Rattus norvegicus: one gene and its partners. Each later gene encodes a partner of the first gene's protein in a complex. Links are inferred from orthologs where the notes say so. Each region holds a gene or a part of one and is shown on either strand. Other genes may lie near its edges.

What was found. The genes of interacting proteins can lie anywhere in the genome.
Region 2: Zbp1 (region 1) and Casp8 share a complex: the UniProt entries of both Homo sapiens proteins name them as parts of the AIM2 PANoptosome complex. The link is inferred for Rattus norvegicus from reciprocal best matches to the Homo sapiens genes ZBP1 and CASP8.
Region 3: Zbp1 (region 1) and Aim2 share a complex: the UniProt entries of both Homo sapiens proteins name them as parts of the AIM2 PANoptosome complex. The link is inferred for Rattus norvegicus from reciprocal best matches to the Homo sapiens genes ZBP1 and AIM2.

The regions. Positions count from the first base shown.
Region 1 is NC_086021.1:182,419,172-182,423,536, forward strand, and holds the start of Zbp1 (Z-DNA-binding protein 1), read right to left. Parts: upstream 2,847-4,365; coding exon 2,813-2,846; intron 1,196-2,812; coding exon 956-1,195; intron 2-955; coding exon 1-1.
Region 2 is NC_086027.1:67,789,018-67,792,582, reverse strand, and holds part of Casp8 (caspase-8), read right to left. Parts: intron 2,410-3,565; coding exon 2,304-2,409; intron 1,077-2,303; coding exon 938-1,076; intron 858-937; coding exon 804-857; exon of another isoform or gene 713-803; intron 1-712. UniProt on the Homo sapiens protein: Thiol protease that plays a key role in programmed cell death by acting as a molecular switch for apoptosis, necroptosis and pyroptosis, and is required to prevent tissue damage during embryonic development and adulthood.
Region 3 is NC_086031.1:88,433,119-88,436,683, reverse strand, and holds part of Aim2 (interferon-inducible protein AIM2), read right to left. Parts: intron 2,115-3,565; coding exon 1,963-2,114; intron 1,879-1,962; exon of another isoform or gene 1,839-1,878; coding exon of another isoform or gene 1,695-1,838; intron 737-1,694; coding exon 317-736; intron 1-316. UniProt on the Homo sapiens protein: Sensor component of the AIM2 inflammasome, which mediates inflammasome activation in response to the presence of double-stranded DNA (dsDNA) in the cytosol, leading to subsequent pyroptosis.

The DNA of each region.
Region 1 (4,365 bases):
TCTGCAAAGCAGGAGGCAGGTGCTTCGTGGGAAGAGAGCCCTGGGCTTGCATCTACCCACCACCTACTGCCTGTGGCCTGGGATACTCGTGAAGCCCAGGGACATGGCGAGGGTCTGTCAGAAGCACATATTGGGTCATCTTGGGGACAGTGGTCCTCTGGAGACCAAGCGGATGAGGCTCTCACCCTAGAGACTGGCGCAGACTGACGCAGGGGTGTCAGAGCCCACATCTCACCATTTAGAACCTCTCTCTTCTAACAGTGAGTCTGGCCTCTGACACTCCCATGGAGCTTCAGGGGTCTGGGGAGGCCTCCAGCATGCACCGAGATGCAGGCCAGGACTCTCTGGAGCTGCACCCACATCTCATTAGGGTCTTGGGACTGGAAGAAGGATGTGTCAGTTGAAGACAGGAGATGCCCTGCTCCATTAAAAACAGAATAGTTTCTCCGGAGAGCTGGGGGACAGCACATTAGGCTGGGTCCCAGGGCTTCCGATCTGCTTGGGTCATGGATGCTGTCTGTTGAAGGTTGAGGCTGCTTCCTTTCCTGTCTCTGTCTGAGGGTTGAATGAAGGCAAGATGGCTCTGGTGTGGGGGGGGGGGGGGCGGGGGCAGTGTCAGCACTTGGAACTGTGGGTCCTTTCTTCTCCGTGGCTCTCAAAGTCACCCGAAGGCTCTGAGTGAATCCTTACTTACCGTCAGCCCTCACTCTCGCTGTGACTATTGCCTGGGTTGTGTCTTTGACCCTGCTGTTGTCTACTGCAAGCCTTCTATGGCTAAGCCCTAGGCTCAACATTAGCTCCATTGGCCGGGAGAAATCCAGAGACAGAGAGGGGATGGCCGAGCTCAGATTTGAAGCCAAGCCTGAATCTGGGCTTGCCTATGACAAGATGGCTCTTAAGGGGTGTATGTGGTGGTGGGGGGAGGGGCTTCTGCTCTGCCGACGTGACAGATTACCAAGGCTAGGCTGGGCAGCGGAGTCCTCAGGGATCTCGGGAGCCCCATCTCCGGAAGCCCCATCTCCACCTAAGGACCACGTCGCTGGCGCCGGCGAGGACACTCGGCCCTCTTTCTTCAGGCGGTAAAGGACTTGGTTGAGGATTTTCTTGGGCACTTGTAACTTCTTCAACAGCTGGTCGATCTGCACAGGACTACCAGCATCACTCAACACCTGCAGGATCTTCTGCTCCAGGTTGTCTCGGGGAGGAACACAGAGAAGAACTGAGTCAAGCCTAGTCCCCGGGGACACCCTGCATCCAAGCTTCCGGGCACAGGAGGGATCTCCGGAGAGACCCTAGAGCAGAGAAGGCACCCGTGACCTGGGCCAAGCAGACAGTAAGCGAGGATACCAGTCGGAGGCGAGGGTGTCAGTCAGGTGAACGCTGGCTCCACAGATAGATGTCTGGAGTGGTAAAGTCATATGCAGCCTGCCCTGTGTACTATGTGGAAGTCAAGCAGGTAGGAACCCTCAGCCCTCAGACGATGGAGCAAGAGGGAGAGGTGTGAAACCAAGTCTGGCCCTGAAGTCCCTCCGTGGTGTCTTGATGTCTCTCCCAGCCCGGCCAGGGACTCCCTTTCTCTCCAGCTCAGCACCCACATCTATGGTGTGGGTGTTCCCAGGTCAGGAGTCCAGCAGATAAGAGAAATGGGTCTCTCCTCCCATGCCTGATAGAGCAGGAGCCCCGGAAAACCCAGCTCAGTTCTTTTACCTGGGCCTTGAAGCCATCTTCCAGATGGCCACCAACTCCAGAAAGCTTGCCCCCAGATCCCTCCACCGGGAGCTTCGATGGGCCTCTGCTAGCCAACCAGCCTCCTCTGTGCCTAACCCCGAGGGTCCCCCAAGTCCCACCTCATGCTCCTTTCAGCAGGTTCGTCTGCTTGTCCGTGTGTCTGCCTTTAACTTTCTTTCTTTCCTCTCCTGACAAAGTCTTACCATATAGCTCAGGCTAGCTTGAAATTCACAGCAATCCTCCTGCTTCAGCCCCAGATCCACCCCCACTGCAGTGCTGGAATTAGAGGACTTAGCATCTCTATTCCTGGGTTGGCTTTGCCTTGCCTTGAGAAACCTTTGCTGGGGAGTGTGTCGTGTAGCAGGCTCCCCTCCCCTCCCCTCCCCCACTGACCCCTAAAGACACACAAGAGAGGCAAAGCCTTCCCCAAAGGGTGGGCTTGAAGGACTGGTTGCAGGGTCTGAAAGCGGGACGTTAGGAAGCAGAAGACTGGAGTTGGTAAGGCTGGACAGGTTAGTAGTGTTAGGAAACTACAGGAGTCAGGCGAGTTTTAGTTCCTGGTCTTCTTTGCCCAGGAAAGAAACTGGCACCTGGCCTGGCCCCTCCCTGATAGCTTATGAGCAGCAACTTCTAGTATGTTTCCAGGTCTGAAATAAGAAAGGATAACCCAGAAGGACCTAGACAAGCAGTAAATTAAATCCTGTCCACAGCATCGCAGCCTCACACAGCCCTGCACCCCGTAGCCTCCCATAGCCCAGAAGCCCCTAGATGGACTACATGATTGCAGCAAGGATTTGACTAGGGCAGGAGAAAAGCTTGACTACAAAATCAAAGTCACATCTTCCTATCAAAGCAAAGTCCTCTCTCGAGATGACAGTTCAGAGCCCCAGGCCTGTCACAGGCCTTGGTGACCTCATCTATGAGGTAAGAGGACATGAAGGATCTGGGGCACAGGATCCCTGAAGCAAGCTGACTTCTCTGTGGTGACCTCAGAGTCCTGCTGCCGTCTGGGCTAAGGAAACAGCCAGGAGCCGTAGAAACTTCACCCAGGACCCAAAGGTGGTGAAGGAAGAGTTTAACTTACCTCCCGTGCCCAGGTCCACAGAAGCCTCCGCCATGCTCCCAGCAGCCGTGGGGCACTTTTAGGGGTGGGGGTGGCAGGTCCCAGCACTGTGGCCAGGCCTGGGGCTCTGAGTCCACAAGAAAGAATGCTTGTTTGGACCTGCAGACACCAGCTGTTACCACCCCGGAAACTAATACCCATCTGGCTGCACCCCTTCCCCGCCCTCTGGCTTTCTGAAGAAACAGAAAATGAAACTTTGGTGTGATTCTCGAATGAAAGAATTGTCAAAATCAGGGTGGATGAGGAAGCTGGAGTTGGACAGACCATGTGACAGAAAAGAGCGGGGTCTTGGCCTCTGGGGTGGGACTGCCCACGGGAAGAGTGAGACCTGAAGAGGACTCTGAAAGCCCTGTGAGGAGGAAGATGGTGATCTAGGAAAAGGCACCCACGGTGCCTCTCCTGCCTGGTCTAGTACTGTCTACCCACATATGTTTTAGAAGAAGAGACAGACTCCTTTCACTTTCATAAATTCTCAGCGGCCCGAGAACAGTTCAGACACCTCTCTGTCCATATTACGGGAGAGGGGGATGGAGACTCACAGAGATGGCCTTGTGTTCACCACTCAGCCCATAATAATCCCTGAATCTGGGTCCCAGCTACAGGGTGGGGGGACCTGTCTGGTGTGCAGGTCCCTGGTGCACAGGGCGGGACAGGAACAGTCAATGGAGACCAGAAGGAGGTGATGTCTGCAAAGCAAGCAGCTGGCAGCAGGTCCCCAGTCAGCTTTACCTCTCGGAGCCTGAAAAGGTCACCAGGCAGGCCACCATCAGGCCAGATCCGCACAGCTTGGGAAAACTTTAACATTTCCAAGTGCTTTTTATGACTTCCAGGGAGGAAAAACAGTGCCTGCAGAACCAGCCAAGGAAAACAGAAACTGCACTGCCTGTGGCACCCAAAATAAATAAGGTGGCTTTTAAACAAGCTCTCAACCTGGCCTGTTGGGGGACATTGCCCCAGTTCCCTAGAGATGTCATTTTGGAGACTGACCACTAGGTGGTGCCTGCTCACCAACCGCCTGTTGCCCAGGGGGTCTTGCTTGATCCCTGGCCAAGGTGGCTTCAGACTTAACCGGGCTTCAGGACATGCCCGCTTTCCTCGCTTCTTTCTTGAGCATCCTTTACAGGTCTTCCCTTCTGTTCCTTACATTAGCAGACCTGGAAGGAGTCAGGGCCTCCTAGGTCAGCGGTTCTCAACTGTCCTAACTCTGCAACCTTTTAATACAGTTCCTCACGCTGTGGTGATTCCCCAGCCATAGGAATTACCTTCGTCAACACTTCCTGACTGGGATTTGGCTACTGTTATGTAACTGTAACGTAATGTAAAGATCTGTGCTTTCCAAGGGTCTTAGGCGACCCCTCTAAAAATGTCCCTCAACCCGCAGAGTACTCTATACATAATATATAAATCTTAAGACTATGAAAGATTTATTTATTGATTGATTTTAGGTATGTGAGGGCTCTATCTGCATATACCCTGCAGGCCAGAAGAGGGCATCAGATCCCATTACAGATGGT
Region 2 (3,565 bases), on another chromosome or scaffold:
ACCATGACAGTGACAGACTGAACCTCTGAACTGTTAGCCAGCCCCAGTTAAATGTTTTCTTTTATAAGAATTGCTGTGGTCACGGTGTCTCTTCACAGTAATAGAACTCCTAACTGAGACACCCTGCTCCAACAACAAAACGTTGGAGGAACCCTTCTGTTTGTTCTACCTCGACTCCTAGGTAAGAAAGCAGAGGACAGGGATGAGATAGGCAACTTGGCTTGAGTATACTAGGGTGAGGCAGGCACACAATGGAGGAACGCGGGCAAGTGTGAACCTGGGAGCCTGGACTTAACAGGAGACTAAAAGGACTATGCACACTTGGCTGAGGGGCGTCTCACAGAGCAGAGAAACTTGAAGAAACTTGAGTGCTCTGGAAAAAAGTCAGGTGTTGATCCTAACACTCAAGACAGAGTTAGGTAGTTTTCTGTGATTTCAAGGCCAGCCTGGTCCACATAGAGAGTTCCAAAACAACTAGGACTATGTAGAAAGACCCTGTCTCAACAAAACAAAAGAATGTTCAGGAAAATAATTCGAGTCTAGCTCCCTCCAACTCTCTTCAAAAGCAGAGGCCAGAGCAGAGTTAAGACCCTCTTATAGAGTAACTGTGGGTTCACTTCAGATGTTTCCATGGGGCTGTCAGAGAGCTGCAGAGGTGACAAGCAGAGGTGACAAGCAGAGGTGGCAAGTAGCCACTGAACTTTCATCTTACTCAGGATGTGGCAGAAGGTGGTGGGAAGAGGAAGAGAGGAAATCGGAAACCAAGCACCTCAGAATCTAAGGAGTGTATCTGCAGGCATTACCATCCAAAACAGAAACTGGCAGCTCTTCCCCTCCTTCAGTGCTCATTCTTCTCTCTGAATTGAAAAAGAAAAACTTGATCAGAAACAGCTGTTTCTCTGAGGGCTTTGCTGACTCGCAGTGGTTAGCTAGCTACCTGTGCTTGATCGTTCGTAATCGTCGATCCTTCCCAGCAAGCTCCTGTTGACCCGGAAACAGATTGATTTTAGGGTAACCAAGTTGTTTTCTGCCAGGATAGTCCTCTTCTCCATCTCTACGAAAATATCAAGCAGGCTCTGTGGAGGAGAGCGAAAGCATGAATGGCTGGGGGCGCACGGGCTTTGGGATTAGGGGCTTGGTTTAGTCCCCACTTCTTCAGCCTTATTTCTCAAGTAGATCCCCCTCCCTCCTCCAAGCACGTCCTGATCTCTCACAGTTGACAGTAATCAGGAAGGCCTAAAAGTATTTTAAAAGATGGGAAGATGAAGAAACCATGTCAGGTGTCACCCAGTCCCCAGGTCTTGTTCTCAAACAGTATGAGAAAGGCTTCCTCTATGGACCAGCCTGAGGAATGTGGATGGGACAGTCCTGGAGATTTCATTCTACCCCGTATTGCCCCTGGTACCTTATCTACTTCTAAACCTTAGTTAATACACACAGAGTCACGGGCACCAAACACACAGAGAGATGCCACACACCTGTGTTCGCGTGTATCCGAAACAAATGCACAGAGATATATCTGGACAAAGCATACATCAAATTTAGACACAGCACACAAAGACACACTGATTCACAGAGTAAGAAAAACCCACACACAGAGGCACCACACATGTATAGACTCAGACCAACAAAGAAGCCACACAGGGGTACACACACTCAGGCACATACACCACACATATACATAAGAAACACCCACAATATACACAACATGTAGACACAGACACATACATCATACAACCTACTCGTAAAGACACATAATGCACACTGGGGCAGGGGCGAGGGGTAGACAAACAAGCAAATATGATGTGTTTCAAGGGCAGCAGAAGTGGGGAAATGTGACCCGCGGCTACCTTTTCCCCTTGGCTGGGTCCCCTGTGTTGTTGAACAGCATGCCTTGCTCTCTCAGGCGCTGCCCCATGGGGCTGAGCAAGACACTTCACTGTGCTGAGGCACTAGAGCCGTAACTACCTTTCCTAACCACTCTCTTCCTGTGAGAACACAGGGGATAGCTCAGTGGGCAGAGCGCTTGCCTACTGTGCAGAAAGTTCTGAGTTCCACATCCTGGAACCATATAAATCAGGAGGCGTGGCACAGGTCAGTAATCCCAACACCCAGGAGGTAAATGCAGGAAGATCAGAAGTTTTGGGTCAACCTTGGCTACATAGCAAGTTTGGATTTAGCCTGGGCTACATGATTCCGTGTCTCAAAACAACAACAATGCAGCCTTGAATACAGTTTGTGGTTAGCAGTGCTCTCTGGTCTCAGAAACCCTGGTGACCCATCTTCAGGAGACTAGGTCTTACCGAGTTGTCTTGCAGTTTACATTTAGGGATCTCAGTGATCAAAAGGAACTTAAAAGATTTCAAATCCTCCTTGTCCATGTCTTCTGAGAGCTTAAAGAGCATAACCCTATGGCAGGAAACAGAGACACTTTAGAAACAGGTTCTAGATCTCACCACTACACCATTATAGAAGGCTTCACTCCCAGGGCCTCCATAAAATAGCCAACTATTCCTGACTGGTGAGCCCCAGGAGGAGGCTGCCATAGTGGTGGACGTCTACAGAGTCGGGTCCAACCAACCCATTGGAGAGAAGTCCTACCACATTTGAATCCTGACTAACTTTAACTGAAAGAATCTTGATGCTCCTACGTTGATATAGGTCAAGATCCAGGTGCAAGGATTTGGGGAAATTTTATTCTCCACAGTGCACATCGAGCTGACTCCCTTCCAAGCACGGATCCATGTTCTCTCACAATTTCCTTCTGGAAGAAGGTTGAATATTTGGTTCTAGAATAAAAGGGGGTCTGAACACACACACACACACACACACACACACACACACACACACACACACACACACTTCCTCCCACTCTAGCCAACACCAAAGGCTCTCAACACAACCAGCTGCCCTGTGTTCTGCCACCAAATATTCCCTGTGTTGTGTGCATGCATCGCCCACCTACAATCACACCACGTTGCCAGGGTGTACTCAGGGCTCTGTTCTTTCACTGAACCTTCATTCATTACCCTCCCTCCCACCCCACCAGGGAGAACTCATATGGCAACAGTCTGTTTATAAACTCCTGGAGTCCCCTCACAGCCCAGCCCATGCCTTTTTTTCACTTTCATTAACCTGAGATTTGTGAGGTGCAATGTTTGAGGAGCCCCAGACTACAAACACATCTTATAGGCAGGGCAAAACTTTGTGGGTGGGCTGACATCCCCATCCTTCCACTGGAAGTCATGCCTGGCTATAGGAGGTGGCCACTTCCAGGCAGGGTGAGGTGTTTTTGTGCTGCTTCCCATAATAACAACCCTTCCCACCTACTTGTGTACGCAACCCTTCTGTGGCTTTAAGTGTGAGCCACCATGATACACACAGATGTGTGAACCTGCCTTCTTATTAATTCAGGCCTGCACCCACCCTCCCAGCGCCCCCCCCCAGCTCCTCTCCCCCCCCTCGCCACCAGGGCAGGGGTAATGCAAAGAATTTCCGGTTTATTTCAAGAAGTGAAACGCCCCCCCCCCCAAAAAAGTGAGCACACCTCTAGATTTTTCCATTT
Region 3 (3,565 bases), on another chromosome or scaffold:
CAGGAAATCTCAGTGCATGCCACACAGGAGAAAGCTACACAGTAAGACCATGTCTCCAAAAGCAGAACAATCAAAATAACAAAATAAAAATTTCCCAGCTTTGTACACAAGTTTTGGCAAATTACCACCCTACAAACCCTTAACTTTGTGTAAAAAAAATTGTTAAAACTATTTAAAATCAACTCTTAAATTTATTTTTATTGTTTTATCTTTTATTTAGGGTGAAAACATTGAAAGTTAATTTCTAAAGTTCCAATAGGTGTTATATGTTATATTATTCTTACTGATCAATATAAAATTGCATATAGGAACTTACCTTCTGGACTTTAAATAAGCCATTCACAATTGTCCCGCACGGCAGAGTTTTCAGTTTACTAATCTTAGGAGTTTCTCCAGCTTTCTTCATAATGTTATTAGGAACGCAGACTTTGTGGCTAGATTCAACATCAACCACAACTGAGGAACTGGTGACCTCCACAAAGTAACTGTGACGGAGATAATTTGATATTTGAATTGTTCTCTTTGGAATAAATTTATCTTTAAACTGTGCATTTAAAACTTTTACAAAGAAAAATTCTGTCTCTGTGGCCACTGTGGCATGGAATATCTTTTGTTTTCCTTCCTGGGTCTCACACTCAAAGGGATTCATAGCTTTCAGCACCATGACTACTAGTGAATCTTGCTGTAAATCTTCTCTGATGGCTTCCTGTTCTGCCACCATCTGTTTCTTCTGAGGCTGTGACAAGAGAAAGAAGATGTTAGCTATGGATCCACTCAGGCAGCCTTCATTCTCAGGAAGGCCCCAGAAACAAAGAAGCTGAGCTGAAGGGAAAATGGAGACGTTAGGAAGAGAGTAGAGACTTGAAACTACCTAGATTGAAAGGACATCAAAGGAATGCTCTGCGCTCAGTATTCAGATGGGGCAGTGCACTGACTCTGGAGACAAAATTCCTGAATCAGAACCCTTCTTTGCTATGAAAAGACTGTGTCAGACACCCGAATCATTGTGAGGGGCTGAATTAGATTCTATCTCCTTGTGATTCTATGACAGCATAGTTTTCCCTCCAATGCTGAGCATTTATTTGGCTCTTCAATAAGTGGTGTGCACAGAGCTCCCGCACTGAGAACTACTTTAGAATATGTCTTCAGTCCTAGGCATTTTATTTGGATTTTTCAGAGACTATACAATATGTATTTTTATGTCTACTTGTTCAATTGTAACATTTAAACTTGGGTACTGTATTGTTTTCTTGACAATTCTGGAAATTTCTGAGCCAAACACAGAAGAAATGGTTGGGTGCTCTACATAGAATGGTGCCCATACCCTAAGCTGACTCCTCTGTAAAGTTACGTGACATTTTCATTACAGAAAATGAAATTGAAGATGCTTAGTGGATTTTGTGGTACATGCTACTTTATTAGGACTAAGGGACAAGGACTGTCTTCCAGTTTTATTCCCTCTGCTACAAAGAGCCATTTATTTCACCACAATAAGAGCAGGCACATCGTGACTAAAGGAACTGTCTTTTCTACCCACATCATGACAATCCTGAAGGGCATTCTTAGCCCCCAAGTCTCCCATGGATAGGTTGAACTCTTTGCTGCAATCTATTGAACTAGAACTCTCCCCGTTCTCTCTCATCCTAAACCTTCTCAAAAGAACTAGTGATAAGAGCACCCTGAAAATTACTCACTGTATAAGGTCCCGGCAGAGTTTTCTTCAAATAGAGGTTAACATAGCAACATGTTATTATGTCCAGAGCATGGCAGAAATTAGGAGCTTCCTGGGCATGGACACTGATAAATTTGAGTGACTTTTCTTTTTGTAATGCAGACATATCTTTCCTATAATAGCCTTGTTTTCTTGGTTTGTATGTTCTGAGACAAAGAGCAGAAGACTTTATGTGGTGGATGAGGGGATAGTGATGACAAAATGCTCTGATAAGAGTGGCACTAGCCTACCTTAACTTGAGGACAGACTTCTGTAGCAGAGTGTCCCTTGAAGTCTTTGTCACTGCAGGTGGCAGAAGCAACAGAACAGTTTTTAGCTTGACTTCTATTTTCTACTTTCTGTGTTCCTCTCTTCTTTGTATTTGTCACATATTTACTTTCAGCTGAAGAAGGAGGAGGAGGAGGAAGAGGCAGAGGAGAAGGAGAAAAGAAAGAAAAAAGAAGAAAAAGAAGAAAAAAAGAAGAAACAAGAAAAAGACACATTAAAATCTATGATAAGCATAGCTGAGAATTAGAATTCTCATTAGAATTCTAATTTTAATTAAAATATCATTAAAATACCATTAACTTTCAAGAAGAAAATTAGAAAGGAGACAGTGGCAGGGTGATGGATTAGAAGTTTCCCATCTTCAGGTCCTCACAGGAATACAACACATGACTATCCACAGACAGGCACATTGGGAAAATCTCTGAATGCAACAGAACCATAAGACTGAGAAAAGTTCCTCTAGAGATTGAGTGGAATGTTTTCATTTTTAACCACATTATCTCCCCCCCAAAATGGGACAGTACTGTATAGAGAGAACCCCATGGTTCTACAACTTCGATGGTGAGGATGAAGGGCAGGGAGTGCCCATGTGGCACCCCACTATAATGTAGGCATTGTAGAAGGTTTATTCTCACCTCATCCCTTAAGAAATATTGAATACACTGGCAAGACTAGAATAACAGGGATAAGTTAGACATAAACAAAATGAAGTGGGTCTTACTGTGGAGTCACCCAAACAGAATATCCAATAGCACCTTTAAGAGCCTCATGCAACAGATCTGTTGGCTTTGAATCATAGTCAACTTTCCTATGGTCTTACTACTCTGTAAAAGACCTGAGACTTGCTGGGTAAGGGTATACACATATGCATGTGTGTAGAGCACAGCATCCAAATCTGCCTTTCCTCCACTGTGGAATGCTGACCCCACCCAGCCTCAGAGCAACATATCAGGCTTCCTGAAGGTTATAGGCAATCTCATGCACACAAATGTCTTTGAAAGGAACCATCTGACATTGCTAGCCACAGCCTATTGAGAAAATCACACCACTCAGCCCCAGTGTTTGAAAAAAAGGGGGGGGGGCTTCTTGCTAAAGGCAAGTGTGTCCAATATTTCTTTGGAGTAGAGTACCTGGTCTCCCCAAACCTAGTGACCGAGAAGTGATGAGAGTGACGAGCCTGCGGTTCAGCGTGAGCCAAACTGGGATAAAAGTCTACGATTTTATTTTATACATGGGTGTGTGGGGTGGGCTGGTGTGGGGTGTGTGTGTGTGTGTGTGTGTGTGTGTGTGTGTGTGTGTGGTCGTCTCAGGTCATGCCCATACCAAGTGTCCCAGCAGCAGCATCCTTCCCATCCTCAGACCCCAATCTTCGGCCATACACAAATGGAGAATCTAAGTAGCAATGCTGCCCATTTAGGACCTTTATCCTGCAAACTTAGTTAATTAAAGAGGATCAAAGACTCTAGCCAGCAGCTCCACCTCACTGCTAAGTCCAGTTAGTGATCTTATTAAACCATACAATGTAGTTAATATTTTTATTTGACCACAGAATACAAGCAGCCACCC